Astyanax mexicanus: one gene and its partners. The protein of the gene in region 3 purifies or fractionates together with the protein of the main gene of each other region. This does not show direct contact. Links are inferred from orthologs where the notes say so. Each region holds a gene or a part of one and is shown on either strand. Other genes may lie near its edges.

Region 1 (7,932 bases), on a different chromosome or scaffold from region 3:
GGCTCTCTCGGGCAGCGCCAGATACTGGGTGTTCTGGAAGCGCCTCTGCAGCGCGGCGAGCTGGAAACTGGAGTAAATGGTCCGGGGCTTCCGCACTTTCTTCGGTTTACCGTTCACCATCCTCACCTCCGGCTCCACCGACTCTTTTTCTACCGCACCAAACACAGAGAGGAGGAATATGAGTGATGAAGAGAATAAAGAAAAATACTATTCTTTAACTCTAACTGAGTAGAACCCAACTGAACCGCACAGAGTAAATAAGGAGAGGGTTTAGGCAACTCGATAAACGCGCACTGCGTAAACACTTTCCATTCGGGTCATATAGTAAAGTTACATAGATTAAATTAATGTACATATACCTGTATACGTGTCTACACTTAAAAAGTCAGTTTATTCGATGTTATTTACCTACGTTATATGTAATCTTAATCTTAATGCCCGACCATTTAAATTTTACCCGTTTCTTATTTATTTTTTATTTAACAAAAAAAAAAAAGAATCTAACAAAACCTAGCAACACACAGCGTACAAAGCTTTATTTATTAAAATGCTAAAATATATAGATACAAAAATGAACGTATTTTATAAGGAAATAATCATTAGAACCAAAATAAAAGTGCTCTAGTTTAATAATGATAAAAACGCGAAGGTTAAATAAGTTAAATATAATACAGACACAAGTGATAGCAGCATTAATAATAATAATAATAATAATAATAATAATAATAATAATAATAATAATAATAATAATAATAATAATAGTTACCTTGCGGGCTGGGCTGTGACTGCACTCTGCTATATGTTCCGTACTGATGGTAAGCTGAAGTGCCGTAAGAGCCGTAGTCAGGGTAAGATTTGGCAGAGTAATTTCCCGCGGATCCACTGACTCCGTGGTACTGGTACGGGTAGCTGTTGAGAGGTTTCCCATAAGAGCCCGAGTTTGGAGAACAGTAGCCGTGGTGCGCTCCGGCCGGGCTGTAGTAGCCCGCGTCCGTGGCGGTGGACTCGGGCAAGGTGGGAGACTCCTGAGGCGGGTGGTGCATGGCGGAGAGCTGGAACGCGTTCTGGAAATCTGTAGCTTTCGTACCGGGAATCCTCCTGTCGAATACTCCAGTCATGGTTTGTTTGAGTGAATATATATATATGTGTGTGTGTATGTGTGTGTGCAGTAGGCAGCGGCTGTAGCTCTGTGCAGGTCTCTGAAGTTTACACTCGCATGGTGTGTGCTCGCTCTGCTCCTGAAGACTGCTGGAAGCCCTGCAGCAAACACTTGGTTAAATCGTGAAGGGCGCCGTTACGCACTGCAGGGAGGATCCAGCTCCATTGGCCACGACGCGCACTACAGCTACTCCCTAACGCACTGAGCAAAACACTGCGGCCTGACGGGAGCAACTATACAGCGGATTTATAAACAGTCAATGGGCTAGAGACGACATTTTCTTTCTTTTTAACGTTAAAAAAAGGATTAACAGAGCCATGCTGCGTGTAAAGTACAAACCAAACGCTTTTCAAATAAGTCTTAGCATACATATAAATGAATCTACATGTTTCTACCCTTTCGTTCAGTCCTACACTACACAAACACATTTTTTTTAAAGCAGTAAAACATTTACAGGCTCAATCACATTATTTTACGTTTACATCATATAAGCCTTAATATAGTTTAAATCAAAAGCCCGGATTTGCCTCTTTATTGTTACACACGTTGCCCTTTTAGTTAATGAATCCACATCGTTTTAAATTTCTCAGGGCGCTTCATTACGGATTACAAGCTAATAGAAAATGATTTACATGTAAAAAGAAAAATAAATACAGTCACGTTGTTAAATCAGACGCCAAGTAAGATAGTATTGATTTACTAACGGTAAAGTGGCGCCACCGCGTGGTGGAGATATAATAGTCAAAGTCAAAGTGGTTTTTATTGTCATTTCAGCTATATACAGAGTACACAGTGAAACGAAACAACGTTCCTCCAGGGACCATGGTGCACATAAACACAGTGTAGACAGAACAATAGTGCAACAGTACAAAAGTGCAGACAGACAATACAACACAATACAGACAAAGAATAATAAATAACAAGACAGTGTGCAAATTATGCAGTGTGCAAAAAGTGTGCAAAAAAGACCAGTGAGGTAGTAATTACCTCTATTACACAGTGTGCAATAGAGTCCAGTGAGGTAGTAGGGTTTTTAGTGCTTTCCATTTTCTGGGGTAAGTGGGGTAAGAGTGTGTGTGCATGTACAGAAAAACCATCAGTTCAGTCTCTGCAGTTGAGGAGTCTGATGGCTTGGGGGTAGAAGCTGTTGCAGAATCTGGTCGTGCTGGACCGGATGCTGCGGTACCTCCTTCCCGAAGGCAGGAGGGAGAACAGTTCGTGTGAGGGATGAGTGGGGACATTCACAATGCTGGTTGCTTTGCGGATGCTGCGGGTGGTGTAAATGATAATTTAAATAATAATAATCTGTACTTTTAAATATTTTATGTATAATAATAATAATAATAATAATAATAATAATAATAATAATTATTATTATTATTATTATTATTGTTATTATTATAACAATAATAATATTAATAATAATAAAAAAAATACATAAATACTTTCTGCACACAGACTTCTAAATTTGAAATGACTTTAGTAAGATTTTTAACTTTTTAACAGAGTGTAAGGAGTTACCAGTTTTTTTACTGTTACTTTCTTACTTTACTTTTTAATGTGAATGATTTCAGATATTAGTAAAAAAAAATAGTAAATTTATTAAAATAAGAAAAACTACTTAATAGTAAATGCAAATAAAATATAATTTTTGAAAGAAGTGTTTTGTGTTTTTGTGTTTTTATAAATTTCTGATTAAACAATTAGATAAATAACAAAATAATTTTGACACATGCTTTCACATGCTGCTCCCTGGTGGACTATCCATGCATTACATGCACCAGACAAATACATATTCTAAGTTTAAATTTTAATTACTTGAATAATATGTTTAACATTTAAATCAAAGTATATGGACAATTGTTTGTTCTATCATGGTTTAGATTATTAAAAAAATAATTAAAAAAAATATAAATGTATTATTAAAGTTAAAATCAGCTATGCAGGGTGTAATTTGTTTATTTTATTTAATAATTGGTAAGTTTGTTTTAAACGTGGTTAGATGGTTCAAACTATAATGAGTTAAAAGCTTACAAAACTGTTCTGCTTGCAGCCTAATTTAATTGTTGCAGAGCCTCTTTATGGAGAGCTTACCCACTTCCTGTACAAAACCTTTACAGCAAAAAAATGAGCGCACACCACTAGAGGGAGCCTGAGAGGGAGTCCTTAATAAATGAGAGTAAATGAAGCTAAACGGTTAAACTTAAATTAAAAATAATAATGAACTACTTGTCCATGTTATTAATTTACTTTCAGAAAGTATGTGGAAGTATTTCGCAAAAAAAAAAAAAAAAAACAATTTTTCCATTTTTCTGTTTTTGGACAAAAGAGACACTAGCATTACTATACTGTGTGCTGACTGGTTGGTAAGCTGATTCTGGAGAGTGAAAATACAACCAGAGCACGTTTAAAGGGTTTATAACTGGAGTTTAAAAACTTTAAAAAAAAATGTGCTGAAACATTCTATGTATGTCTGTGTTGATGAATAAATGAATTCATTTTTCAGTGTAAACATGTTCAAACATTTACAAACTATGATTTTGCTCAATTGCTCTATAGAAACCCATTTGCCAGACCTCATCTCCTATTAGAAACCATCATGATTACTCAGATCACAAACTGCTGGTCTCTAGTTGTTCATTAAATTCTCTAGTTGTTCATTAAAACCCCCTAACTCTGGAATAATCTTCCCAAAAATGTTTGGGACACCTTCTCCATCTTTAAGTCTAGACTAAAAACGTACTTGATTAGTTTAGCTTTTGGTAATTAATGTTTCCCTTTAGATAAGATTGCATATTTTGGCTTTCATGATGTCTTGACCACTGCATGCGATCACTCAGGTTTGTGGACTGTGGGGTGGGTGGATGCCATTGTTTCAGGGTGCCTTTGTGTCTATGTTACCTTCTGGCTCTCTCCCTTTATTCATGCTGTTATACTCAGATCTGACACAGCCATTAGCCACACTCTGATAATGTTGCATATTGTCTTTTCTCCATAAATTCCATCTTTCTGCCTTCCTCCGAGTTACTGACTGCCCACCTATCCGGCCTGATACCGACGGATGTTCAACTCTCAGGGTCTCCTGTCACCTGTCCGGCCAGACTGGTGGAAGTCCCTGGAAGTCAGGCTTCCCTGTCACTCACCACAGTAGTAGCTCACTCCCCACTACCAAGAACATCAAAGTTTACATGAACTCTAACTAGTAATTTTCTAACTGCCTTCACTGTGATAACCTCAAAATACAAGTGCTATTTAATAAATTTTATTAGATTTGAGATGATCTTGGTCAGGTTTGTCCAATGGTGGCCCAATAAAAACTGAAGATGTTCTCAATTAAGTGGGCATTATCGCTGATTCGAATCCCGGTCATGCAGCTTGCCATCAGCTGCCGAAAGCTGATAATAAAAAAAGAAGATTTTACTTTTCTGCAATCAGAAGAGTGGGGTCTGAGACAGAGTTAGCAACATACAATGTTATAAACTATGATTTTGCTCAATTGCTCCATATGAACCCATTAATTTAGCGCTCAGTCAGGAGCGCCCACTGGTGGGCTGATAAACAGTGAAGAGGTTGTTGGTTAGGATATTTCAGTGGGTATTCTCCTCTTTAGAGAGTCTCTGAAGGCTCGGAAGTGACGCACAGCTTCGCGCAAGTGTTTACTTGTTTTTATTAATTTTCGGTCGCTTTGCATTTTTATAAACGTGCTATTTTAATATTTAAAACATAATTTTTTACTCTCTATATTTTATTAGCTCTTAGTAAGCGCTGTGGTGTAGTTTTTGCGCGGGTTTTCAGAACACCGGAGCGGCGGGCAGGCGGATGGTGCGGTTGTGGTGGTGGTGCTGCTGGTGATGGGGGAGGAGGAGGGACGGAGGCAGCGGGACCCGCGGAGCTACTTCAGCCCAGCACTCGCCTAAAACCGCGTTTTATCCTCCGAAATCTGAGATTAAACAGCCGTTTTGCACCGCAGTCTAACTATCCCGTTCTCGTATGCACTTCACCGCGGTCGGGAAGCGAAAGTGAGCGCGGTGCGAGCGGCGAGGTCTGTTTAAAAGCACAAGAACTCGCCAAAATGTATCCGAGCGGAGCAGCTGGGGGTGAGTATCGTAAGCTAGCTTAACTAAAGCTACTGAATTAAAGCTAAGCCTACCCACATAGCTAGCGTTAGCTAACTACAGGCTGTAGATTTGTATCTGCTGTCTGAAAACACCGCCTATCTGTGGCCTGGTATTTAGAAGATTTAGATTATAAACATTTGTAATAGATTAAATTATTAATCTGTAGTGTTTGAGAGCTCCTGGCTGATAAATCCGCCTGTTTAGTGAGCTAGGCCGTGCTATGTTATTGTTAGCTAGACGGCTAATGCTAAGCTAGGCTAGGCTAGCTCGCTGTCTGCGCTTGTGACTGGTTAGCTAACGAGGCTGGCAAGTGGTGGTGTTAGCTTAGCTAAGATAGCTAAGTAAGCTAAGCTAACAAACAAAGTTTCTAGCTAACCTAGCTAGATTGAGATAGCGTTACATAATTTTACATAGCTACGCCGACTACACAAACTGTAGTTTGTCGTTTGTACTAATTAAGTTAGCTTAGCTAAGTTATCTTATTACGTTATCTGTAGTTTAAACTAGTTAACCCTAGCTAAGATAGCTGTAGTTAGTTAACTAACTATAGTTTCAGTGGTCAGTTAAAGCTAGCTTAGTGATTTACTAATCTAGTTAAATAGGTCTATCACAGGTTATTTCTCTCTTAGTCTAATTAGGTTACGTTTTATTTTGCTGTGCTTTTCTGCCTAATGTGATCTGTACAGCTAACTTACCTAGGAAGTAAGTTATGTAGTACACCAATCAGTAAACAGTGTTAGCAGATCACCTTGCTTTATATTAAAAGGAAAATATATATGTTAGAAACACTAAGTTAATTATATAAAAACCGTTTATGGCTTCTCGTTTGCACCAGTTAACTAGATATAATAATTAGGGTTAGGTTTAGCTAGCTTTGCTATGTGTCCTTTCCTCACTGTAACCTAGCTAACTACAGTTTCAATGGTCAGGTAAAGCTAGTTATATATTTCTTAATCTAATTTATTTTTACTGTGCATTTCTACCCCTGATGTGTAAAGCTAGTTAAGAAGTATTTAACTTAGTACACCAGTCGAGTACACCATTTTAATGCAGAGGTTCTGATGTTTTTAGGTGAAAGTTTTTGCCCCAAACTATTTCTGGGGGATTTTGTGAAACAATGATTCTCAATATTCTTCAAATATATGAGGGATTCTCTATTTAGATTTTAGATCTTTCAATTTAAAGTGATACACAAGCTATTTTTTCCTTTACCTTTAATTTCAAAATGTTTTAGTATGAAACATGGTTCAAATATAACGTCTTTTTTGGTCAGTTAAGGAAATGTCTATCTGCTAAGATTTCTTCTGGCAGCTTCTATATGTAAATATGTACAATCTTGATTATCCCACAGAAAATTAATTAAGAGCAAAAACAAGTCAATTATTTTAATTAACCTTCCAGCCCTACCCCAAATTAAAATACAAGTTTTCAGTAAATATTGTTTGGACAGTTAAAACAAGCTAGGTACTAGAATTTATTTTGAATCTTTTTCTACCAAAGGTAATCTGTAAGGAGAATTAACGCCAGACAGCTGATTCAGTGATCCCCATTAGGTAGCTGGTTAGCCTGGTCCAGCTGGTTGTAGTTTCACTAGTGTCTACAAATTGTTAATACAAGAATATATTTGTTTTTTTTCCCCATGTAAGAACAAGCCAACCTCAATTCTTGTCTCAACTGGTGCATATTGATTATGCTCACATTAGTTTTACTGTAAGTAGCAGGTCAACACAAAATTGAATTTGTTTGAGTTCTTCTAACATGTGAGCGTAGTTCAAAGGCCAATTATTTTTAGGACTAAACTTCTACATCTTATTAAGTCTGGTCTTAGACTTAACCTGAGTGTGAGAAACCCATTCAAAGTAACTACAAATATCTTCTTTGCCCTTGCATGTTGGGAACAGGGCCAGTGCTGTTGTGTAGGTGGGGTAGACAGCCAGGCTGTTAAGTCGCTGGTGTGGTCTTGTTGATAAAGGGGTGAGAGAGTCTGCAGCACAGATCAGGATGGGACCTGCTCTTTCCTATCTTTGAAACGTGACACATTTTTGGTTTTGATAAGCTTGGTTGAGGCATTTTTGAGAATCTAGCAGCTAAAGCACATCATTGTGACAAACAAAAGTCATTTATAGTCTTGTGCAAATGGCTAGACTTAATACATACTCATTTGTAAATCATTTGAATCACTAGAAGTTAGACTCTATAGACTTATTCGACTCTCTGATAAGGGGATCATGACATTGTCACACAAACTTATTTTGTAGAAATGTCCACAAGCCTGTTTAATGTCTTGTGTAATTGACTCCACAGTATCTCAAGTTTGTCTGGGGGGCTGTGTAAATAAAAAATATAAAAATGTAATTTTGTTTTTGGTAGTTGCTGAGATGTGTGAGGGCCTTACCTCTTCGCGATCAGTAGATTCTGGTAAGCAACCATGACTCAAAGGTTCATTGTGCAGGCTAATTTCAGTTTTTTATTCAGTTTAATCAAATGTATTTTTCTTTGCTGCATAAAGAAAATGTTCATACCTGTGGCATAAGCGAATTGTGACGCCCCACTCAATTGTGGGGAATTGTGCTATAATCCAAATATAAGTTATTTAATATTGAGCATCAGACAATGACAAGGTGGGCCTGATATATCTGTATGTTTTAAAATTTT
Region 2 (7,904 bases), on a different chromosome or scaffold from region 3:
CAACAAATATCTTCTTCACAGGCTCTTTGGACTTCATGGCTTTAGCTTTTTTCGGGTCAATGACTTTACCATTAAGCTTGTGTTCTTTCTGCTGAATTACCTGCAATCAACAGATGACAGTAGACAAGTTTAAGTTCCATATCATACAATAAACAATCCAGATGATACAGACATCAAAAACCAGTAGAAACTGAACTGTAAAGAACAGTGTTTTTTATATTCAGTTCTGGGGCTCTGCAAAGTTTCAGGTGAATAAAGCATAAAATCTGTTATTGTCACATTGCACACAGAAATATTTATTTGGTCATTTTTATTACAAATATATAATCCCAATATCGATAAACGCTACATAAAAATTGATACGGATGCCCACAATGGCTGTCTGTAGCTACAAAAATAAAAAAATATATTTTCCAGTTACTGCAATGTGCCCTAGTTCTTCACTTAATGTGGTTTGCTCTCTTTAAAGGGCCATAAAGTTATATGTTAATTTCGTGGCTTGAGTGCTTTAGAGCTCTACAGATCTGCAAAAGGGGTCACCATTTCTACAGATTTCATCAGTTTAGCTACTGAGAAGAGTTAAATGAGGTGTTCTTTAGTATTGTTTAAACCCTAGAAACCTGCCACCACTCCAACCCCTTGCAGAAAAGAACAGTAACCCCTGGTCTAGAATGACCAAAATATGAGTAAGAGCATAACAAAGGACACTACCTTTTCCACGCTTTCAGCCTCTTTAAACAGCACAAAGCCAAAGCCTCTGGATCGTCCAGTCATAGGATCTAGTTTTAAAGTGCAGTCTACAACCTCCCCAAACTTGGAGAAGTAATCTTTAAGGTCCTTCTTTGTTGTGTCCCAGCTCAACCCTCCAACAAACATCTTCCTGTAAAAAGACAAAAGAGAATATGGCAAATGCTGTTTCCATATTAATATACTTTTAATAGGGGAGGCAGGCCTTTAAGCTATTTCAATTTTATTTTCTTTAACTTTAGGTGATTGAGAAAGGGGATACACAGTTATGCTACTCTTATTCTGTCAGTGCTGTAAAAAAAAAGCTAATTATGTGTAAAAAAAAAAAAGTGTAAATAAAATGTTTAACCACTTATTTACAAGCCTGTCAAGTCAAATTAAATCAGGTTCATTGCTAAATGACATTAACACAGGTGTAAAAGTGAACATCTTTGGTGCCTAGACCCTCACAATTAAAATAAAAATACAATAATAAAAAAAAACAATAAAAAACCATGTATAACCAAAAACTTAACACTATGCATACATTATTATGTTTCCAACATTTAAATAAAAAATAAGGTATTTTTTGTGTCCAAAAGAAGAATAGGGTGCAAGAATAGAGTGAAATGTTTGTTTCTTCTTCTTTGTCCTTTTTTTTAATGACCACAGATAAAAAGAAAGATTGCACAAGGCTGACTGTAAGGAGAGCAAATTTCAACATAAACTAAAAGCCAAATCCCAGAGGAAAGAGGAAATTTAATCATCCAAAAACAGCAAAACAGGACACATAGTAACAGACATTATGGTTTTATTATATATGAGAAACACAAAATTCACAAAACAAAATAAAACGTGTCTGTCAATGAAATGTTTTAATCTAAGTTTGCGTTATTAACAAATAACAAATAAATTAAAAAAGTAAAAATAGCTTGAAATTCAGGCGTAAATTCAGACTGGTCAAATTAGCCTACATTTACGCATTTTTGCAAAAAAAAAAAACCCGTGTAAAAAATCTAATTATCATAGCGTGTAATGCAGAGATTAGGTTATCTAGCTGCGCCTGTGTTTTAGCAACGACTTCACTGGCGTTTCCAACGCCGGTAAAATAAAGCTAACTAACGTTAGCTTAGTTAACTAGCTTTAGTTAATTACTTTCCTGCTAATTAACGTTATATAAAAGTTTTCCCATTATTAACGACGCTGTTTAACAGAGTTTGTGGGGGATAGTTTGCAAATATATACACAATATACGCATTAAATTAATAATAATTCGTTTCATTGGGTAGAAACTTGCTAGCATTCGCTATCTAGCTTTGCAATGAATGCAATGTGGACAATCCAGTTCCAGAAAGTAAAGATCCTTTCCGGGATTTTGTTCTAACTAGGGCAGCCCTGCTGCAACGGAAACGAATTCTGCAGGGCTGACCAGGCAGTTGGAGCAAAATCCTGGAGTAGATTTTCACTTTTTGGGAAAAGTGAGACTGGTTGACTGGTGGACTGGTTTAACAGCTTTGGTTGGACAAGTGGCTGTATAAGCACACCGAGACTCTTTGTAGAGGTTTGTAGTAAAAATAAAGACTTTTAAGTACTGATATATTTAATCTCTAATACTAAATTTACAGTAAGTACCGAATAATTAGCTTGCAAATGTAGCTGGACTATAAAAAAAATCCTGGAGCAGATTTTTCACTTTCTGGAACATTTTTTTTTACTATCTTTTTTTTTTTTTTTTTTTTTTAGCTAAAATGACAACTGGCTCAGATATAATCGCATACACACCCCAAAGAGAGGCTTAAGATGCAAATACAGACTTTAAAGTACAGATATTTCTAATTATTTAAGAATAAATGTCATATTATTAGCTATTATTAGGCAGATAGCTAGCGTTAACTAGCTATAGCTAGCCTACATGCTCAGCCACCATACAAAGCTCAGGCTTCTCCACCACCTCTATCATGAGCCCCACTTCTTACCCTTCATCCTCCTCATTTTTACTGGCATCAATCTTCGATCCTTCAGCGTCTCCTGATACACCGGCATGTATCTGTTCTTCTCCACCCCCCTCCCCGTCCTCCTCCATCTTCATACTCGGGTCTTCCAGGCCAAACAGCTCCTCCGACATGTTTGGTCGTTTTCTACGGGAATCTGGCAACTAACTACTAATGTTTCTGCTAACCTGCTTCTATACTAATCACCAGCAAACTCAGCTAACACAGATTTGCATCTACTCTCTTAGAAAATAATAAAAACTGATTTAAATCCCGGCAGGAATGTAGCCTAGCTAACCTATAGTTGATCGGTTTTGCCAGCTGTCAACTCCTCGTTGCCACACACCGGTGTCCTGACGAATTGTGTTACCCCGCCAAACCGTGCTACCCTAGTGTGTACTGTATATACAGCTCTGGAAAAAATAAGAGACCACTTCAAAATGATAAGTTTCTTTGATTTTACCAAATTATGAAGCTGGATGATCACAAGCCATTAAACCAAGCTGAACTGCTTGAACAAGAGTGGCATAAAAACTGGTCGAGGAGAACATTCCAAGAAAATACAATAAAACCAGGGTTATTCCACCAAATATTGATTTCTGAACTCTTAAAACGTTATGAACGATATGAACTTTGAATTATTTAGGATCTGAAAGCTCTGCATATTTTTGTTATTTCAGCCATTTCTCATTTTCTGCAAATAAATGATCTAAATGACAGTATTTTTATTTGGAATTTGGGAGACATATTGTCCGTAGTTTAACGAAAAAAAAAAACAACTATGTTAATTTTACTCAAATATATACTTATAAATAGCAAAATCAGAGAAACTGATTTAGAAACTGAAGTGGTCTCTTAACTTTTTCTAGAGCTGTAGATAGATACATAGATGGAGGGGTAGATTTTTATTGATGGCTTTGGGAGGGTTCCCTCTGCGAAATAAATTTTCCAGCAGCATCATTACAGTAGACACAAAAATAGATAAAATAAAAAATATAAAAAAGCTACGAAAAAAAGTAAGAAAAGAAGAAAAGGTGTTGCATCATTGCATATTTGGATAAAAATAAATTAAAATATGTTTATTTTTAAAAAAGTATCATATTAGGTATATTTAGAAAGCCTACATTAATGTATCAGGGTAAAGTTAATGCAATTTAATTAAGATTAGTATTTGTATGTATACGTTTTATTATTATCAACTGCCATGTGAAATGCTTTTTAAAATTCAAGCAGATATATTTAATGCACAAAAATGCATTAAAAAAATAAAGTGCTGGTCCGCGCATGCGCAGTGCTGTAAGAAACACATATCGATGGGTAGCAGAACTCTGCACAACACCGACGCTGTCGCACAAAATGGTGGCACAGAGCGAAAGGAGAGGACGACGGCAGCCAGTGTAACTTTCTCAGTGTTTATTCTGCCTTTATTTCACTCTGAATAAAGTTAAGAACCATTTAAATGGATTTGAAGATTGGCCTGAAACCAGTTTACCCATTTATTGATAATATGGAATGAGAATAAAATCTTTAAATTATATAAATATCTAGGTTAGTCTAATGACCATGTAGTCTATTGACCAATACATGCGGTTTCAGTTTAATTACTCAAGTAATAAACTTAGGATGTCTAGGAGACACTGGCTGTGTCTTGACATCTCAAACCAGTGAGGAATAAAAAGGGTTTCACCCAATGAAATACATTAAGTTGGGTCTGTGTATTGTTTCATTAAAAAAAAAAAAAAAAAAAGACCACTTGAGGCTAAATGCCAAAACCACACAATTTTCCTGCAAATACTTTTTTTCTCACCCTCAAAAAAAAATGGTGCGAAAAAGAAATGAGAATTGAGTAAAGATATTTTTTCCTGAAATTAATTTTTGAGGTGCAGAAATTATAAACTAGAAGCCAGAATGAATCTTTACTATACAAAACGGGAGAAACACTAAATTCAGTTTTACACTTCCTTTTCTATTTACAAATTTAGAAATTTGAACTGAAACTTTACACTGACCAAGGAGCAAAACATTTTTTACAGCCCCTGACCCCATTTTAGGCTCTAAAAGGTTTAGTATACCTTGTTTCAGGGTCCAGAAGCACCTAATACACATTTTTAGCAAATTTTATGCTTTCACACACCCACTGCAACTACTTTTTATGTTAAATAGACTAAATATATAACTAGTTTTAGGAAAAAGAAAACAAGATTTGTACATGGCAAGGAGCTTCAGGACCAGATATGGGAAACCTTTTTTTACATTGAGTGAACTCAGTAAGGCTTAAAAAAGAAAGCAACAATACAAGGTCACTGTTTTGATACCCCAATTTTAATATTCCCTTTATCCAAAACTGAAGGAAAAAGACAACAAAAACAAATGACATTTCCAAATAAAGATATAAGAACACACCAGTACAACCCTACAGGTTCTACCGCATCAACGCACTGGATAAGAAACTTGGAAACAATATTTACAAGGTCAGACACACTCAATGTCTTCATCTACAGATGACAACCAAATAAAGGTACTTTAAAAACAAGATGCTCTTTGATTAAGAAGGACAGGGTATCCACAAGCTGCCTCCTGGGTACAAACTCAGTCAGCCTGCTCACCTAAAAGAGAGGAGACAGAACAACAATCAATAATTTCTATAACAAGTATTTAACTAAAATGATCACCTTCCATGTTTCTCTGTTTAACATCTTGAGCTGTCGATTTTAAGCTATTAAACACTTCACCATTCAAAATTAAAGATCATATGTACAACTTATGAGTTTCAGAAAGCAGCTCTTCAGCCAGGAAAAGCTTTAGCTCAACTGGGTTGGTGGATAATTGCACCAAAACAGAGCACTTCCAAACAAAGATAATTCACTATCCTATCAGATATAATAGGACTTTTACCAGTCAGTAACTGCATTCGAGTTGGTAGTTTATGAGTCAGCTTTTTATGGCTTCATAAAACTGGTTTACATATGATCTTTATAAGCTATGTTTTAAGGGAAAAGCTTGAGGTGTACCATTTGAAGTTCTCTATGGGTTCTAAAGAAAAAGCAAGCATTATGAGTTTCTGCAGTTTACAGGATTGGAGACCGTTCATAGGAGAACGAAAAGAAAAATAAATAAATTAAAATCACTGATGCTCCAGAACTGAAATACAAGAACACTAAAATTAATAAAAGAGAATACAACAAACAGTTAAATCACTTAGGTTTCACTGTTAAATACCTGTAAAAAATTCATTTAAAAAACTGTTAAAGAAAGCATTGACAACTTAAGGGAAAATGAGCGATCTCCTTTTTAATGTCTGTTCTTTGTTTTTAAACGCTGGTACAGGAAGTTTGAAGAGACCATACCACAGGACAGCGTTTTCTTGTGCATGCCGTGCTCTCTGCCCGCTATGTGCGACGCCCAGAGAATTTCGTGGTCAGGTGACACACGGCCTGCAATGAAGTCCCCCGCTGGCAGGTACAAACAAGTACAATATCAGAATTAGGGAAAGAATGAAAAAAATAAAATAAGGAGGTGCCCTTACTTTGTACCCTTTAGCAGTACTTTACCTGTTAGCATTGCTATCAACACTATCTTATTTCCTTATGATCACCTGTTAAAAAGCAGGGAGGAAAATGGAAACCAATCTACAGAAAAACGCTTATGTTTTTCTGGAGAGCTTTAAAACCAAAAATAAGGCACACCACTAACACAAGCATTATTAAATTATAATTAAAGATCTATAGACAAATCCCCAAATTACTCAACATGGGGTGCATGATAATGCATACCACTTGTTTTAGGATAATCAGTTTGTGTCTATTGATCTTTAAATTGTATACAAGAGGACAGATGTAAGGCCAAAGATGCAGTCTTACCATAACTCTTAGCAGGTCATGTCATTTCGTCAATATGGCTGGTAGTTGTTCTGATGATTTCCACCCTCCCTGGAGGCCTTGCCGTAACTGCTGGGCTGACCTATTAAAAATATATATATATATTTTGTCAAATGTTTAATGCATGTTTGTAACAATAAAATAGCAAAACTCACAAATAAATAAAAAGTTAAGACTTACTGTTGTAGTCATCATACCCTTGTCCATATCCGTAATTCTGATAGTTGTAGCCTGAATAGTCGTACCCAGAGTAGCCATTATATCCCTGGTTGTATCCATTGCCATAGCTACCATAGTTTTGTCCGTAATAATTGTTGTAACCCTGGTTGTATCCTTGACCTTGCCCTGCACAAAGGAATGTAAATGGTTAGAATCATAGAGGGAAGAACTCAGTTTTAGTACTTTCTGCAAAACCCTCCCTCACAGTGGTTCTCTGTTTTGGCTAATTGTAAATGCACCCATCTCTTCCTCAAAGAACAGTATAACTGCATGTTTTCAATCCAATCAAGCAGCTGTTGGATCAGTTGTTTTCAGACTTGAGTTAAGGGTTTGAGGAGTGATTCTCCTTGGTTGGAATGAAAACCTAAAGCCAAAACAGAAAATACAACTGACTGCTGCTTTAGACAAAAGACTACATACCTCCTCTTCCACGACCCCTGAATCCTCCTCCTCTTCCTTCTCCAAAGCCCCGGTCACTTCTGCCCTGCTGCTGTCTGTAGACTTCTTTAGGCTGGGCAACTTTAACTTCACACTAAAAAACATACCCACATTAAAAAAAAAAGTTTAATTTAGACCTTATTGGACTAGCCATGCTCGTAAATAAACGCAGTAAACCAACCTTTCCACTTCCAATTTGGTGGTATCTGTTTTCCAAAAGCTTCTGAACAGGCTCTTCTTCCACATACGTTACAAAGCAGAATCCTCGCCTCTCATTTGTCTTACCATCCACAGGAAGTTCAATGTTTTCAATCTGTTAGGAACACACATGCCAACCACTTTAGCACTAGCATGGACTCATACAAGTTAACACTTCTGGAGAAACCAAGTACTATAATGTGTTTTTTTTTTAGTCCTAGGCCATTCATATTACTTACAGTTCCGTAATTTCCAAAGTATTCCCGAACTTGTTCCTCTGTTGTTTCTGGATGGAGACCACCAACAAACACCTTTTTGGGAGGTTCCTTCCCCTTCATGGCCTTGGCTCGCTTCGGATCAATAAGCTTACCATCCAGTTTGTGTTCCTTCAGTTCCAGAACCTGAGCAAACAGATATTTTTCAATTGTTCAGCTTTAATTATTGTACGATTGTA
Region 3 (8,168 bases):
GTACAAGTTTCCTGCGGGCCATGGCAGCAGCTTTGTGTGATTCATACTCCACAAAAGCAAAACCACGGTTCATACTTTTGTCTGCTGCGCTGGGGTACACTATAACATCCACCACACCGTCTGTTACCTAGATTAGATTTTGAACGAGAAAGAAATAAAAATTAAATACAAAACAGCAAAGTGGCGAACAAACAGGAACACAGTAGCCTAAACAACAATCCCTGATTGTGACAATTTATCATTTATGAATTTACAGTCTGTTACAACACTTGATGGCAGCTGATGAATTACAACACAGTGCAAACGATTAAACAGGTGACCTTTTCTTACTGACCTTAAATAGTAACTGCATTTAAAAACGAGACAACAATCCTACAAAAAGTCTATACATTGTTTTCATAAACATTCCTATCTTCAGTAGGAATGGGCGAAATTGACAACAAGTATATTATAATAAATATTTCTTAATGTTAAATGCTAAATTGCAATTCCAATATCACTATAAACAAACAAAAAAAATCATTTGAAATTGTAATGTGCCCTGTAATGAGCATCAATTCATGACTATATGCAGTAAAAATGCATACTGAAATATCGGAAATGTTTTTACAAATCATATCACCTTTATTGAAATATTTGATATTGTGATATATACTGATATTAAATCATTGTACAGCCAAATTGTACAGTAGTTTTTTACTAAAACCATCAAATCTCTTAAACACCCCCCTTCGCAATAAGTCCAGTGCAAGTTTTCAAGCTAACAGCTGAAATGAAAATATTCACCTTAAACTGTTCTGTTTTACATGACATTGTTTATCTATAGCAAGTTAAGATTTATCTTGCTTAAATCTGTATTTTCGGAAAGCTAATGAGGCAAAAAAACGAAGCCCACTTTCTATTTATTACACTCAAAGAAGCTTACAAAGCACTTTACAGGAGATCGATGTGAGATATGACAAACAAACAAATAGAGGTAAATATTAATGCACCAAATACTGGCAACCAAAACTAAAACTAAAAGTACTGAATAATTTATAGCAAACAATAGCTCATTTATTGTAGGTCATATTGCAGTGTTTCCTTTAGATTGCTTTACTTTCAGAAAAGACATCAAAGTGTCTCTGCTAGGATGTTAAAGCGTTTTAATTATCTTTTTTCTGAAAAGTATCTATAAAATAAATTTAGCCTTTTGAGAATAGTGGCAAAACATATACATATAAACCTATAAAAAGGGAATTAGGTATTTTGTTCAATTTCAGACATGTTCAGGCAGACAAATTTCCATTACAGTGCATCATTAGTGGCAATAAAGCATGTACCCAAAAACATACAAGATTGTAGGATCTGGTAATCCTCTTTTTAAAAAAATGGAATAGAGAAAAAATAGAATGGCTTGTGGTTTTCAAGTACTGAACTAAAACTCTGTTTTCTCCAAAATTATGATGGGTAACATTTTAACTTTAAACAATGAACTATAATCCATACATGATTGCATATTTACCATAGATAAATAAAACCAAAGCTCTCTCTCCTAACTTCTAAATCACTGACCTTCATCATTTCCTCTTGTATCTCCTCCTTCTTCATGTCTTTTGGAATGGACCCAATGAAGAGCCGACAGTTGTTTAGACTCACACACACTCCTATAAACTTCCCGGGACGGATCTCATAGTGGTCAAGCAGATAAATGGCTTGCTGCGCAGCTTCTGGAGTGGTGTACCTGACAAAGGCATAGCCACGGTTTTCCCCGCTAAACTCCATCATCAAGCGGAACTCATAGATACAACCTGCACGTTCAAACAAAGGCACCAGCTCGTCTTCATACATGTCCCTGGGAATTTTCCCCACAAAAATCTCACAGCCTCTCGGAGGAGGGGGACCTTCCCAGTCTAGAACACAGAATCATATTTTTGTTCATATGAGACATTTGAATAGTAAAAAATATTTTAGGAATGTTATACATATTAATATATTGCATTTGAAAGCAAAGGCTAGTAACTCAACATTTAACCACAGGTGCAAACGAGCTAACTCCTGTTCTTAATCCCACATCAAGAGGTTTTATTTATTTATTTTTATTTTTTAGGTTACTAAAAATCATTAAATTCTTACCTGGTGGTGGACCCCCAAATTTCCGTTGACCATTTTCTTGAACCATACCGTAACCTGTTTTATCCATTAGGGCCAGAAGATTAGCTATCTTTGGGCTTTCCATCTTAATGTCTTGGTGAAGATGACAAACACAGCCTTCTTCCCCTAGCACCTTAGAAAATACAACAGAAACGTCAATTAAGTACACACAGTACTTAAGCACTCATAATCATTTTTAATAGTTTAATATCAAATAGGTAAACATCCATTTAAGAACCAACAATACAAATAAACTATAATAAGAGTTATGAGTTCTTACAGTTTTAACAAACCTACATCTGATTAAATATAATCAAATAACCATAATGACAGACAATATTAAACTGTATCGGCAAGGTAAGAGCTTTGTTTCATAGATTCTGAAATTACTTTTCAACTTTATAAATGTCAATGCATTATACAAACATGTATTCATTTAATACAACTATCTAGATCCTTTGTAAAACAGATATTTGTTAACTCAAATCAAGTACCCAGCTTATTTTTCCTTTTAATTAAGTAGATGACATAAAAATGGATATGTAAATAACTGTAGCTGTGGTATCTTATTATTTATCTGATTTATCTGATGTAGTCATGGCTAAAGTTAATTCCACATTAGTAATACCTAATAAATACTCCTGTACAAAGTAAATTTAACATGCTGTGGAAAAATAAAGTTTACCACCCTTGTCAGTATATAAAAAACATTAAAATCAATTTTTTTAATAGGATGATGCATTAAGCAATTGATAATCACAAGCCATCTGAACTGCTTGAGAGGAGAACATGCCAAGATGCATGAAAACTGTAATTAAAAACCAGGGTTATTCGCCAAATATTGATTTCTGAACTCTTTTTCTTTGCATTTTTGGGGTCTAAAAGCTCTGCATCTTTTTTTGTTATTTCAGGCATTTCGCATTTTCTGCAAATAAATGCTATAATTTTTTTTTTATTTGGAATTTGGGAGAAATGTTGTCCGTAGTTTATATAATAAAATAATGAGCTATAATAATAACTTATATATATATTTTAGTTGGAAGCATAACAGTCATGGCCTTCCTTTAAACTCACTTTTACTAAGTAAAAACTGGCTCATCTAACCCCACTCTCCCTTAGACATGTTTAAATCCACCAATTATTTCATAAAATTGACTAAAAAATGTTCAGCAGTGTCGCCCTTAGCCGCCAAGCACCGCTGTTGGCTAAGCTGAGGTAATTTAGCAACGCTAGCTAGCTAGGCTAACGCTCGTTCACTAGGTAACCTAAAGCTAACCAGCCTAGCCAGTTCTCCTAACTAGTTAGCCAGCTAACGTCAGGCACTAGGTAACCTACCTGATCACCTAGCTAACTATAATATTCAGAAATACGACACCACAGGTTATCCAACTCACCAAGAAACATAAATTCAGGCAGTTAGGAGATTATAGATACCCAATAAAATGTTCTTTATTTGAAACAATATTAGCTAAGCCACTTAATGATTTTGATGATCAGTTTAGCGAACCTAGCATTAGTTTTTTAGCTTTTAGCTATAAAAAAAACTTTATAGAAAAAAGTAGGCGGCGCAGAAATTCGCCTTTTTCCCTAAACAAGTAGCTAATTATTATTTTTTGGTTATTTGGTAGCTAACTAGTAATCTGGGCTACCTGTTCTCCAGTTTCTGTAGGTTTAAAGCTGAGATCCCCCTGGTAACTATAAACCTTAACTAACTAAAGTCCTCCAGATCAGCCAGCAAATCAGGTTCAACTAAATTAACTGAATATTAAAACCAGCGGCACACCTGCAGTCTTACCAACACATATTACATGCTTATATACGTTTATATTCTAATATTATAGCCTGTACTGTGTTCTTGCATTGTAGAAATAATAATAATAATAATAATAATAATAATAATAATAATAATAATAATAATAATAATAATAATAATAATTGTTTACATGTTCTAAACGTTTAATTATAGGAATATCAGATTATTCTATTCTATTATAGTATTTTTACTATAGATATTATAGATATCTGTAACTGTATTTCTAGTATTTTTTTTTCTAGTAAATAATGAATAATAATTAAATGTAGTAATATGTCTAGCATAAAGCTCTGAGACCATGTAAATTAATTGTAACATAAAGTATAACTAGTAAGAATAAATGTATAGATCCATAGATATGATATTATCACTAGTAAAACATTTAAAGCTGATATCTCAAATAAGAGTTTTTACAGTAATGTATACTGAGCTTGTACATCAAATTATAGAAATTATAATAATTAACTAGTCTAAAAAAATGTGACTAGAAACTAAAAGTTTAAATAGTTTCTATTTTAAATAAGACTTTTAGCAATCTAGCTTCATTCATATGGAGCTTAAAGGATGACATAATTCACGTCTAAATTTTGTATATCTGAATTTGGTTTACTTGACCTTTAATCAACGTGAAATATTTATTTTTATTTTTAAAATTTAAGATCTATCTGATTCAAAATTCAGAATTAAGAATTTAATCCATAGCTCAAACACCCAGGGTCCCCAGGAAAAAGTAAACTTGAGTGACTGAGATTTCAATTAGAAAAAAAAATAAAAGTGGATCTTTTTAAAATCAGAAAAAAAAACTGATTTTTTTTATCTGAAAATGTATGGATATAGATTTTTTTAAATTATTCAATAATTAATTAATTAATTCACATTGTTTTTTTTTTCAACAGCAAATTTTACCTCCTCAGAAGTTAGTTTAAAACACAAAAATCTAATCAAAAACAAAAATTCAAATATGTGAATCCATCTTGGTAAATGTTAAGTAAATTGAATTTAGATATAGCTTCAAAATTCAGATTGAAAAGTTTATATCAGTTTTAATCTCATAAATTAATTCACTCTATTTAATATGGGTTCTCTATCGCGGGCTTCCTCTAGTGGCTCGCAGCCTTTTACTGATCTAGCCAGGAATTTTTACTGCGCATGCGTACTATGTTTCTCATTACAAAGTGGAGCTGTACTGCGCATGTCTGGCCCGCTGACGACGCTGCGCCCTGCACCGCAGCGCTGAGATTAGCGACCTTTCTCAGCTATTTTGTGTTAATTTTCCGCTCTGTGTTTCAGCAAGATACCTGCTGAGGAGGTGAGTTATCCGGCGGAACTAGTTCTGACTGCGTGTTGAGTATTGCCAGCACCGTAAACAGTACAGTACACTCCGTCTGTCTGCACTGTGTTCTGTGGTTAGCTTTAGCTCTTTAGCAAGCGCTGTTCTTTCTTATACAGTTACCTAGCTAGTGTTAGTTAATGATGTTTTTATTGTTTATTTACTGGTGGTCCTGCAAGTATTAGTTAACCTATATTGCGCGACTTCATCATCGTGCTATTTCTGCAGTTAGTACAGTACAGTGCTGTGGTTTTGAGTTATATACTGCTATTATGTTAGCCGGTGTTTTGTCGAGTTCTTTTACCCATCAAAATGTGTTACTTTCTGTTCTGCGCATACATCGATTTAGAAATGTTAACGTTTTTATGTGAGTTTTTTTTCAAGACAATTTCTCCTGATAAGTGATTTAAATCATTTTTTGTGATTTTTGTTTAGCCAATGGAAGTATCCTTCATTTGGGCAGCTTTACCCTAAATCGACAGAACACCATTAATCTTACTAGCTAGTTAACTAGCTAAGCTAGCAAACCCAAACGTATCTGGCTGAGATGTTCTAGCTACGCTAGGCTAGCTAACGTAGTTAACCTAACGTTAGCTGGTTAAGACCTAGCTAAAAGTTTCGAGACCTTTTCTCATTCAGTTCGTTTTTTTTTTTTGTACATTGAAAAATTAATATTAAAAACTGTATTAAAGCTATACTGGAACGCCTGCAAAATTATTTTGTAAACAAATAGTGTTAAACAACTATAAAATGTTTTATACTTTAGATTCTCCTAAGTATCAAATTTATGATTTATTTTTTATTTATAAAATTTAAGACAGATCTGCACACTCTTGGAATTTTAATCTCAGCTACTTCATGAGGGAGAGTCATCTGGAATAGTTTTTTTTAGCGTCTTAAAGGAGTTCCTAGAGGTGCTGAACAATAGTTGCTGCACAATAGTTGCTGCTTTTCCTTCACGCTGGCTGTGAAGCTCCAGCTCATCCCAAATCACCTCAAATCACCATCTCAGTTCATCAGGTTTTGGTCAGGGGATTGTGGAAGACACGTTTTTTAATTACTTCGTAATTCCATATATGTCCCTTAAATGTTTTCATGTATTTAATATTAATCTACAATGTAAAAAATAAATGAAATACAGAAGTAAAGAAAAACATTGTATGATAACATGTCCAAACTTTTGGTATCTTTCCACAAACTTCTGTAATGTCACAACATTTACTATTTGTTTATTTGAGTTGCATTTGTTTTTCCAGAAGATCTTGTATTGATGATAAGAGATTGGGACCACTGCATAACCACGGTTGTTCAACAAATAAGAACCTACTGACATAATCACCCATGTAGTAATTATCCATTGGGAAGTTCCTACCTATTTGTAGGAGGTGTCATTTATTTTTTTCCAGACAGCATAGTTTATCTAAGTTTTGTGAATGATATCTAAAATGATATCTTTTGTATGTTTCCAGGGGGACTCTCAACAATGGCAGACATCAAAAACTATCTGTATGCCTGGTGCGGAAAGAAAAAATTAACACCAAACTATGACATACGAGCAGCTGGGAATAAAAACAGACAAAAGTTCCTGTGTGAGGTAAACTACACGATACCTGTTACACATTGACTGTTATAGCAACTCTGTACTTAATACTTATTATGTCTATTCTCTTGCAGGCCTGTCACCATAATTATATTGTGAATTATATTGTCTCAGAAATAATTGTTAAACTATAAAAAGCATTTTATGCTACGGACATAATGATAATGTAATGAGATTACACGTTTAGAATGTTTCAAAGATCAACATTTTTTTTTTCTCTTTTTTTTGTGCCTCATTTAGGTACGTGTTGATGGTTTTAATTACACTGGAATGGGAAACTCCACCAACAAGAAAGATGCCCAGTCTAATGCTGCCAGGGACTTTGTGAATTATCTTGTCCGTATTGGTGAGATGAGTGCTTCTGAAGTCCCTGCTTTAGGGGTAAGTATGATTTTGTTAACCATGTCAGTTTGTGCTGGACAGTATACTGGTTTGCCGATATGCGCTTTTTACATACCACTAGGCACTGGCAAAAAAGCAGATACGACCCGCTAACTAACCTAGCCAGTTAGCATAACAAGCTAACACACTGGGTTAATGGTAGCTCAGCTCTGTCGAGTCAAACGCTCTGTCCTCTCTGGAAAAACATGAGAACAGCACTTTATCTAAGGAGCTCCTGTTGCTGTTCCTTGCAATAGCAGTGTTTTTGTCTGAGTAAAATAAGAAAACAACAGCAAACAGCAATTATTTACTCAAAAAAGAGAGGAATGGAATTGAGCAACCGATCCACAGCTTGGAAAAAAGTTTCTCTCGTCCCCCAGAGGAGCCCAAAATCGGTTGTGGGTACAGAATAATTTATTCAGCACAAGTGATAAAACTCCCTAAAACTTTGGATATGAGGTGGAAAAAAAAGCTTCAAGAACTGTTAATATAGCCATTTTAAATATAATAATACTGCAGCTTGAAGAATGATGATAATGTACACAGAATTTAATTTATTTGTTAAATCGTCAGAATCTTGAAAAATACTGTGATATACATTTTTGGTCATACAGCCAAGCACTAATGTCGGTGTTACTGCTGAATATTTGCATTAATAAAGTTGAAATAAATGTTGTCATTACACTTGGCAATGTAAAATAACTTAAAAATTGGCAAAAAAATTGCATTTGTAAATGCTGTTAAGACTATATAGGTGTCTCAATTCCTATTCTTTAATATATTTATATATTTTGATGTCATCCCTCCTGTTACCAGGCCAGTGTTCCAGATGTACCTGATTGCAGCAGTTCAGAAGGTGGTGGGTTTGGAAGTCTCCCACCAAATGGCCCCTTACCACCACATTTAGTTGT
Region 4 (7,615 bases), on a different chromosome or scaffold from region 3:
GAACACCACATTAGGAGTGTGGTACCTGGGTAAACAGTATCGTAATTATGTATTATAATCAACTTATATTTTAAATCACAAACACAAGAAACATTAAAAAGAAAGGTCTTTTTACCAAGTGAGATGGACGTGATGTGGAAGATTATTGTACAAGTATGGGAAAGCAATCTTGTACTCTGTTCTAATCGGCTGTCTGATGATGATCTTGTTGATGTCGTTAAACTCATTCCAGTCTTCATCCCTGTAACAGAAGTTGGCAAACTTAAATCATGCATAAATTTCAAAAGACCTTAAAGGAGAGACGATTCAATCTAGTACAGTGTACTTAAAAAGAATGCAGGTATACATACTGTAGATTGATGTCTCTGACCAGGGGTTCAAATTTGGGCCCTCCAGGAATGGCCATGTTTAAGGCCTTTGAAGTGAAGAAGGCCTTCAGGTCAAACAAATAGAAGTAGTTCCTATCCACTAAATCAGTTAGCAGCTGGTTGGCTAACCGATAAAGAGTGGACATCATTGGCAAGGTGAACTGCCAACGTCTGTATGTCGTCCCATTGACATATCTAAAAGACAAAGAGACATAATGAGATAAGGTGGTAAAAAACTAAAATTTATTTTTTTGTTGATTGTGACAAAGACTCACTTGGTAGCATCCTTCAGTGGCTGGTGTTCGTAAAACCATTCTACAACTGAGCAATCTTCCTCAGGGTCCATTTCCATCTGAATGGCTTCCAGGGGCTCCACATCCAGAATGTTATCAGCATAGTCCAGTGGGGGCTCCTCATCATCAAAGGGAGGAAAGCGCATACGCTTGAAGTGCCTTCTGTCTCTTTTCTCACGACGCATCATGATCCACATGGTACTAGCGTCAAACAGAAAAAGAAGTGATTAATCTCAAAAGTTTAATAAATCTATACATTTGATAAAAAACAAAGCTTGATTGGAACAATGGTAACTTACCCCCATTGTGCAATGTAAACTGGTTCAATGACCCAAGGAATTTCATTTACAAAGGAAATGGCTCCTGTGATGTGGTACAGCACTGGCACATCTCTGATCTGCTCCCAGGGCATGGGCATATTCTCCAGCAGTTTCAGTACTGCATGAGGCATGTACTTCAGAGCCCTAGAGACAAAAACAGACACATCATCTGTTACAAAAACAGTTGTTACAATTTTTTCACAAAGTTTGCAGTTAAACAATTATTTTAAAAAGTGTGCACAAATCTCTATATTTACCCAAGATAGACTCGTTTGTCGTGACGAAATTTCCTGTTGGTCATATCTCCATGGTCCCGAATGATTTTCCGCACATGCTCTGGTGGCATGTCCTCTTTCTGAGCATCGACAAAACCAAATTTCCTCTTCTCCGAGTAGCGTTTTGCCTGCAGCTGCTGCCATTTCCGGGCTGGAATTAAAACAGACAAAAGTGTATCAGAATTCTGATAACACAAGGATTTATAGTGCACACGTTCAATAAACAATTCATTGCTTTCGTGCATTCAAACCTTTTTCTTGAAGCTTCTCCTCAGACATGTAGTCTGGCACCGGGGCAGGAGGAGGAACACCAGGGACACCTCTGTAGGGGAATGTAGCTGCCATGGCAGCGTCTACTGTTGGAAGACAGCAATGCAGAACAGTTAGGTCTAAGATGGCATAATGGCAAAACAAATGAATATGTAAAACAGAAAGAACAAAGCTGGCAGTTTTAACACACTTTCACAGAGCTGTGGATCAGATAAAACATGCCACATTACACAATCCCTTAAATCACTGCTTTGCAATAATAATAATAAAATTAACTTTTTTGCATGCTGCATCAGAATACCTGGAATAGGATCAAAAATAATAAAGCATAATGTTCTAATTTTCATCAAAAAAATAATAATAATAATAACAATAATAATAATTAATAATAAGAGCACTATACGTTTTTATATGAAAATTTGGACCACTGACGTCTGGTGAGTCTTGTATTTTTATAAAACCGCAATATAGCATAGCTAGATCCTTAAAAAGCATTTTGCTATATAAGCTTCTACAATACTAAGAAAGGAGTTGCTCTCCACCTTCGGAACAGAAAACCACAATATTTAAGGACTGCAAAAACTTCCAAGTTAAGCTATTTAAATAAAATCCTAGTCTTTAAATACTGGTTAAAGTAAAATAAAATATTTTTTCACCACATATATTGTATTGTATTGTCTTAATCACAAATGGATACATTTAAGTAACTTACACAAAAAGTTTAATTCAGTTTAGACTGAAAACATTTTTAAAGCATTTTTAATTGCATTGTTGCTTTTAACACACACATTGGACACATTAACCTAAGGTAACACTAATTATCTAGCTAGCTGGATAACTATTACAAACACAAATATTTAGCTAACTAAGCTAACTAGCATTGCCTCATATTCAATATAAAAATAAATAGATACCTTCAGTGACCGTCGGAAAGAAGAAAAGTTTAACTAGAAAGCAAAACTCTAATTATTGTTGTTTGGATTCTAACAATTTTAACCTAGCCGGCGTTAGCTAACAGCTAGCCATGCCAACTAATTTACCCGCTTACGCTAAAGCATTATCCACACTACAGCTACGCTCTGGCTACTAACAAAGTGGCTAACGAGCCGCAAATTATTTGTTTAGCTATAAACTGTAACCAACAGGCGCATTCTCACACAACACAAAATAAAAATAAACCAGAGCCGAACTGTGTTTAATACGAGTCGCAATAGTATTTGGATTAAACCAAGCTAGCGTTACCTTAGCACGATAGCTAGCTTCAGCTAACTACGTAACAAAGCACGAGCCGAGGCTAACGGGTTTAGCTATAACTCTCTCACAGGTTACAGAGCATGCCCATAAACAAACATTTAGCAAATATGAATCTATAAAACTATACCCAGAGAACGCCTCAGTTTAATACAGCATTAAAAACATCTTACTGTGTTTAAACCCAGAGTTTCTCCGGAGTTTCCTGCAGAATGGCGCTCCGAGAAACGATTCCACACGTTGTGCGTAACAACACACAATTCACCACCGCGAAGTGCGAAGTTTCCTACTCTGAATCGCAAAGAAGGAGTAACCCTTTACGCAGGACCACTAAAACATGCGTATCCAAAGCCCCGGATGAGGAAATAATACAGTTTCCGTTTGGAGCCCGTTAAAAGTTTGTAAACGCAGTTGTTTTATTTTACATTTAATTTAATGTTCAAATATATTAAAAACAATAAAAATGAAGAACTATTTTGCTTAAAGAAAATATAGCGCGAAAACTAACAATGTCTTATTTTTTATGTTTATGTTTTGCACATTTAAGAAATAAATTTGAAAAAAATATATAAAAAGTTAAGGCAAAAAATATATAATATTTATATTAATATTAATATTAACATTAATAATAATAATAATAATAATAATAATAATAACAATAATTATTGTTATTATTATTACTATTATTATTATTATTATTATTATTATTATTATTATTATTATTATTGTTGTTGTTGTTGTTGTTGTTGTTGTTGTTGTTGTTACTAAACAAAAAAATCTAATATTTTCTTTAAGCTATGTATTTCCTCATTTTAATTCTATATATAATTTATATGTTTACGAATTTACATTTGTCACGTCAAGACATTTATATGTGAAGAGTCCCCAGCAGATGGCGTTATCGGTAAAAGCAACTCGTGGGCATAGGTACCTGTAATGAACAGAATAATAAAAAAATAAGTTTACATTTACAATATTAAAGCTGTACGACCATACATTGTTCTTTATGTGAGTAAATATCCAGTTAAATATATAATAAGGTAAATATATGAAAACATTTGCTACTGATAATGAATATTGTTTTTATGTAGTTTTATTATGTCTTGGTTAAAATAGAGTCTACACAATGTCATAATGCAATTGTGTAACTATATTACATACACAATATAATATGTGGGCCCTCTATATAAAAAATAACATTGCTTTCCAGCCTTACCTCATGGGTCTTAGTTTTGCTCATGAAGTTACTAAGCACAGTTTCCATCATGGAAGATATGGCACTGCACCAGGCAACAAATCAAACACTCATCATCACTCCCAGTAGAGGCTACTGCTCATTTTTCCTGTGGGCAGAATACTAAAGCCAACAAAGGAAGCTGAGTAGGACACACTGTAATGTTGTGGGAACAGAGTGACAGTGAAATATTGTGTATTCTGACCCTTTAATTTAAAAATAGACAATACTGTTTCAAAATTATTCTGTCACTCAGCTCATTATAGTCGCTGCTGTGCCACAGTGTTTAGTAGCTGTGTAGTGCCCTTCACCTGTCATCTCCTGACATAACTTCTCTTCTCAATTTCCCTCCAGCTGGCAGCTCTCCCAAACAGGATGCCATTCCTCTACATCCCCATCTCAGGCCACCCTCTACAGCCTTATAAGGGGTATGTTCTGAAAGTTCCTGCTGCTTTTAACTCTGTAGTCTAAATTTTAATATGGACCATTTATTTCAACACCCAAATTGTGTGTCCTTGCAGGGGAGTGGATTTACCAGCTCCTCTGAGCTATAAAAGTGTATACTTGGGGTGGGCATTTCAGAGATGGAAAAAAGAGATGGAAGGGAGAGGACAGGAAGCACACTCACTGTGCTTCCTCCTGCAAAGATGTCTCTGTTTGATGGGTAACTTGTCACACACAGCAGATGGCATTTCAACTTCCCTGTTTATTAATGAGCATTTATGTCTCTTGGCAATCACTGTTAAAGGACCCACATCATGATAAACAGCCTTTTCCTTTTTGGTTTAAGACAAAAGAGTTTGATGTAGTTTGAAAACTTTATTTAAAGTGTCCTTGAATGGAAAACTGTGTTGACCTTGGCATAGCTGAGTTTGGTACATAGAAATGACACTGTCAAATACTGATGTCTTTTTATGTAAAAAGAAATCTGGCATAATCTAACCAATTAGCCCAATCCAACATCCAGCCCACAAGCAAAGCTACAATGCAGTAAAACATATTGGCCACGCTGGGAGAGTATGATGTTTATTAATACTTTATTTAGTTTTCTAAGACAAGCATGCACATCACCACCACCAGACTTTAGTTAACAGAAAACTGGTTGCTACCTGAACTAGGCCATTGTGACTGTGGCTTTTCATGGGACAGTATCAGCAGAAGATACTGCAAATTCATATTTAGCATAAGAGGAAGCTAATCCAACTGTGCTAGGCTAAAGCCACTTTTGCTCCTATAAATACAAAGTGCATTTTAGAGTAGCGTTACTGAACCTCAGAATCTTGTCAGCTAATGTTCAACTTAAAACCTAAGCATGTTCTCCAAAAGTCATATTTTTATACTTACTATAACCATTAACAAGCTTCTTACACCTCTCAACTGGAATTTTAAGATCTCTCCACAGGTATTCAACAGGATTTAGGTCCGGACTCATTGCTGTCCAGTTCAAAACTCTCCAGCACTTTGATTCCATCCATCTTATCACACTGGATGCTTTTTGAAGCATTCTGAAACTGCTCCCTATACTGGTATGGCAATTTTCAAATTTAATGATGAGTTATGTGTGAAATAATGTAAGATTTTCCATTGTTTCTCTACTTTTTGTGTTGTTCCAATACACACAAATAAATAAACATGTGTAGAATCCTTTTAATTTGGAGAAATTTCACATGTGCCAACACTTTAGGACATGACTGCATATACAGTACACAACAACTTAAACAAGCATGATCCCTCAGACCAAGCTAAGAATGCAGTTGACCCAGGTTTACCGTGAATATGAGATGCCAACTACTAATTTTCTTACTTAATAAACCACATAGTGACATTAGCTATGCTTCTGCCAAGGCTCACTTCATCACGGTGGGACGTCAAAACTGCTGTTTCCTGTTGATACCCAGAAATCATGAATGTCTCAGCCGTGTCACAGGTCATAGGATGTGTGCGTGTGTCATTTCCTCTTTTAACAGTGCTATATTTTAATGGAACACCCATCACTGACAAGAATAGGTACCACACACACCCCCACCCCCACACAAACTCATTATAGCCCTTCAGTCTTTAATATATGTTTTGTCTGAAATATGGCTTGAAATAAAATGGGGGGGCTGGAGCCTATCATGTGTGTACCTTGTTAAATAACTAGAAGTATTAATTTGTACCCAACTGGCATTTTAACGTTGAATCAGTTAAACGTGTATATGGCGAAGTTGTTTCAATGTTCAACCTGTAATAAACCATATCTCACAGTCGGGATGCTCAAAATTGTATTAAAGTATAAAAAAAAAACAGGAATAAAAACTGTATACCATCATAAAAAAAGTAATTTTTTTATTTTTATTCTCTCTCTAAATATACAACTCTGAGAAGTAGGAACTGTACAATTACAAACAAAAAGCAATTACTACACGTAGCTAAAACTAGAAAATCCTATTGATAACAAAGGGTTAACAATAAACTTACATCACTGTAGTAAAGCTGAGTATAAAGAATGTTACCCACCACTACCAATCTGATTCAACAGTATGGTGATGAAATTTCAAATGCTAATTCAAAGAGCAGAAGGATGAGTACATTTCAAAATTTTCACAACCATTTAACATTAAATATTGTTTTAACATTGTGTTATCTGTGAGAGCTTAAGAAAGCAAGTCTAATCGCTGCTCAGGAACAGGAACAGGAATGTCTCGGTCACAGGCCTGTCAGGTTGAGGGTCAGCGGAGATGGAGATATTTAAAGCCTGTCTATCAAATGTGAAAGCTTGTGGTTGCCTAATGGTGCCATATCCTGCCACCAACCTTATCTGTCTATAAAACAGTAGATACAAATGTTGGATGTGAGTTTTTAGGGAAAATTGTAAAAAGGTTTTCCTTAAAGTAGTGTATGGTGTAAGGACTAAGTTAATGTTGTATATGAAGGGGAAGCAGCGTGGCTTCCTCTGGTGTTTACTCAGAGAATGTCGAGGACAGGATGCTGGAGTTTGGAGGAAACCCTGGCGGCAAACCCTCGCCGTCCTGAGCGGAGCGGCAAAGAAGGAACATCAATTATACTGGGGCTGGCTTTGGGAAGAGGCCCGGACATCCCCACATATCTCTCTCTTGCTTAACAGAGGAAGCTGGCAGTAGCTCTCTTACTGCCGCAGGTAACACTACTTACTCCACCCTGTCTCTCATTAGCTTTCACTGCTTATATTTGCTCAGTTTTCACTACTTCTCTACTTTACTGGCCATAGCAAAGTGTTTTTACTCTGTTCCAACCATCTCCAGCATCTGCTGAGGAACGACAGTGGTGTGAAAGGATCAGGCACACTGTCAGTGAGGAAGAAGGGAACACAAGGAGACAGCAGCCATCATGATGGAGCTGAAGATTCAGTTGGTCCCAACAGGGGAGATCATCCTCTCTCCAGGGATGAATGGAGAGAGCTACTGTCACAGCTGCTCCAAGGTAAGAGAGAGCATGTCTAATGACTTGTTTTGAACTGTAGTGGAACTGGAAGCTGGTGTAATAGATTGTTGTTATGAGATTATAGCACTGGGTCTTACTTATAATAAAAGTGCATTACTAACAACACAGAGAGATGATGCTGCATTCAGTATGTGCAAGCTCA

Evidence for each region.
Region 1: the proteins of dhx9 (region 3) and ago2 purify together in Homo sapiens (affinity purification with western blotting; 5 studies listed by BioGRID and IntAct, with this or other methods). This does not show direct contact. The link is inferred for Astyanax mexicanus from reciprocal best matches to the Homo sapiens genes DHX9 and AGO2.
Region 2: the proteins of dhx9 (region 3) and hnrnpd purify together in Homo sapiens (affinity purification with mass spectrometry; 3 studies listed by BioGRID and IntAct, with this or other methods). This does not show direct contact. The link is inferred for Astyanax mexicanus from reciprocal best matches to the Homo sapiens genes DHX9 and HNRNPD.
Region 4: the proteins of dhx9 (region 3) and prpf8 fractionate together in Homo sapiens (co-fractionation; 3 studies listed by BioGRID, with this or other methods). This does not show direct contact. The link is inferred for Astyanax mexicanus from reciprocal best matches to the Homo sapiens genes DHX9 and PRPF8.

Annotation. Positions count from the first base shown.
Region 1 is NC_064410.1:49,162,640-49,170,571, forward strand, and holds the start of ago2 (protein argonaute-2), read left to right. Parts: upstream 1-4,826; 5' UTR 4,827-5,231; coding exon 5,232-5,256; intron 5,257-7,647; coding exon 7,648-7,695; intron 7,696-7,932. Other genes in the region: homeobox protein Dlx5a, read right to left, coding at 1-149, 767-1,118.
Region 2 is NC_064427.1:26,840,052-26,847,955, forward strand, and holds the start of hnrnpd (heterogeneous nuclear ribonucleoprotein D0), read right to left. Parts: upstream 3,089-7,904; 5' UTR 2,852-3,088; coding exon 2,703-2,851; intron 881-2,702; coding exon 712-880; intron 101-711; coding exon 1-100. Other genes in the region: hnrnpdl (heterogeneous nuclear ribonucleoprotein D-like), read right to left, coding at 6,607-6,677, 6,776-6,940, 7,235-7,346, 7,434-7,565, 7,690-7,851. UniProt on the Homo sapiens protein: Binds with high affinity to RNA molecules that contain AU-rich elements (AREs) found within the 3'-UTR of many proto-oncogenes and cytokine mRNAs.
Region 3 is NC_064415.1:50,994,563-51,002,730, forward strand, and holds the start of dhx9 (ATP-dependent RNA helicase A), read left to right. Parts: upstream 1-5,108; 5' UTR 5,109-5,255; intron 5,256-6,745; 5' UTR 6,746-6,759; coding exon 6,760-6,870; intron 6,871-7,116; coding exon 7,117-7,257; intron 7,258-8,073; coding exon 8,074-8,168. Other genes in the region: probable RNA-binding protein 46, read right to left, coding at 1-127, 1,555-1,892, 2,116-2,218. UniProt on the Homo sapiens protein: Multifunctional ATP-dependent nucleic acid helicase that unwinds DNA and RNA in a 3' to 5' direction and that plays important roles in many processes, such as DNA replication, transcriptional activation, post-transcriptional RNA regulation, mRNA translation and RNA-mediated gene silencing.
Region 4 is NC_064425.1:24,552,992-24,560,606, reverse strand, and holds the start of prpf8 (pre-mRNA-processing-splicing factor 8), read right to left. Parts: upstream 3,061-7,615; 5' UTR 2,951-3,060; intron 1,613-2,950; 5' UTR 1,602-1,612; coding exon 1,508-1,601; intron 1,408-1,507; coding exon 1,239-1,407; intron 1,126-1,238; coding exon 961-1,125; intron 863-960; coding exon 644-862; intron 564-643; coding exon 351-563; intron 242-350; coding exon 116-241; intron 26-115; coding exon 1-25. Other genes in the region: myo1cb (myosin Ic, paralog b), read left to right, coding at 7,360-7,452. UniProt on the Homo sapiens protein: Plays a role in pre-mRNA splicing as core component of precatalytic, catalytic and postcatalytic spliceosomal complexes, both of the predominant U2-type spliceosome and the minor U12-type spliceosome.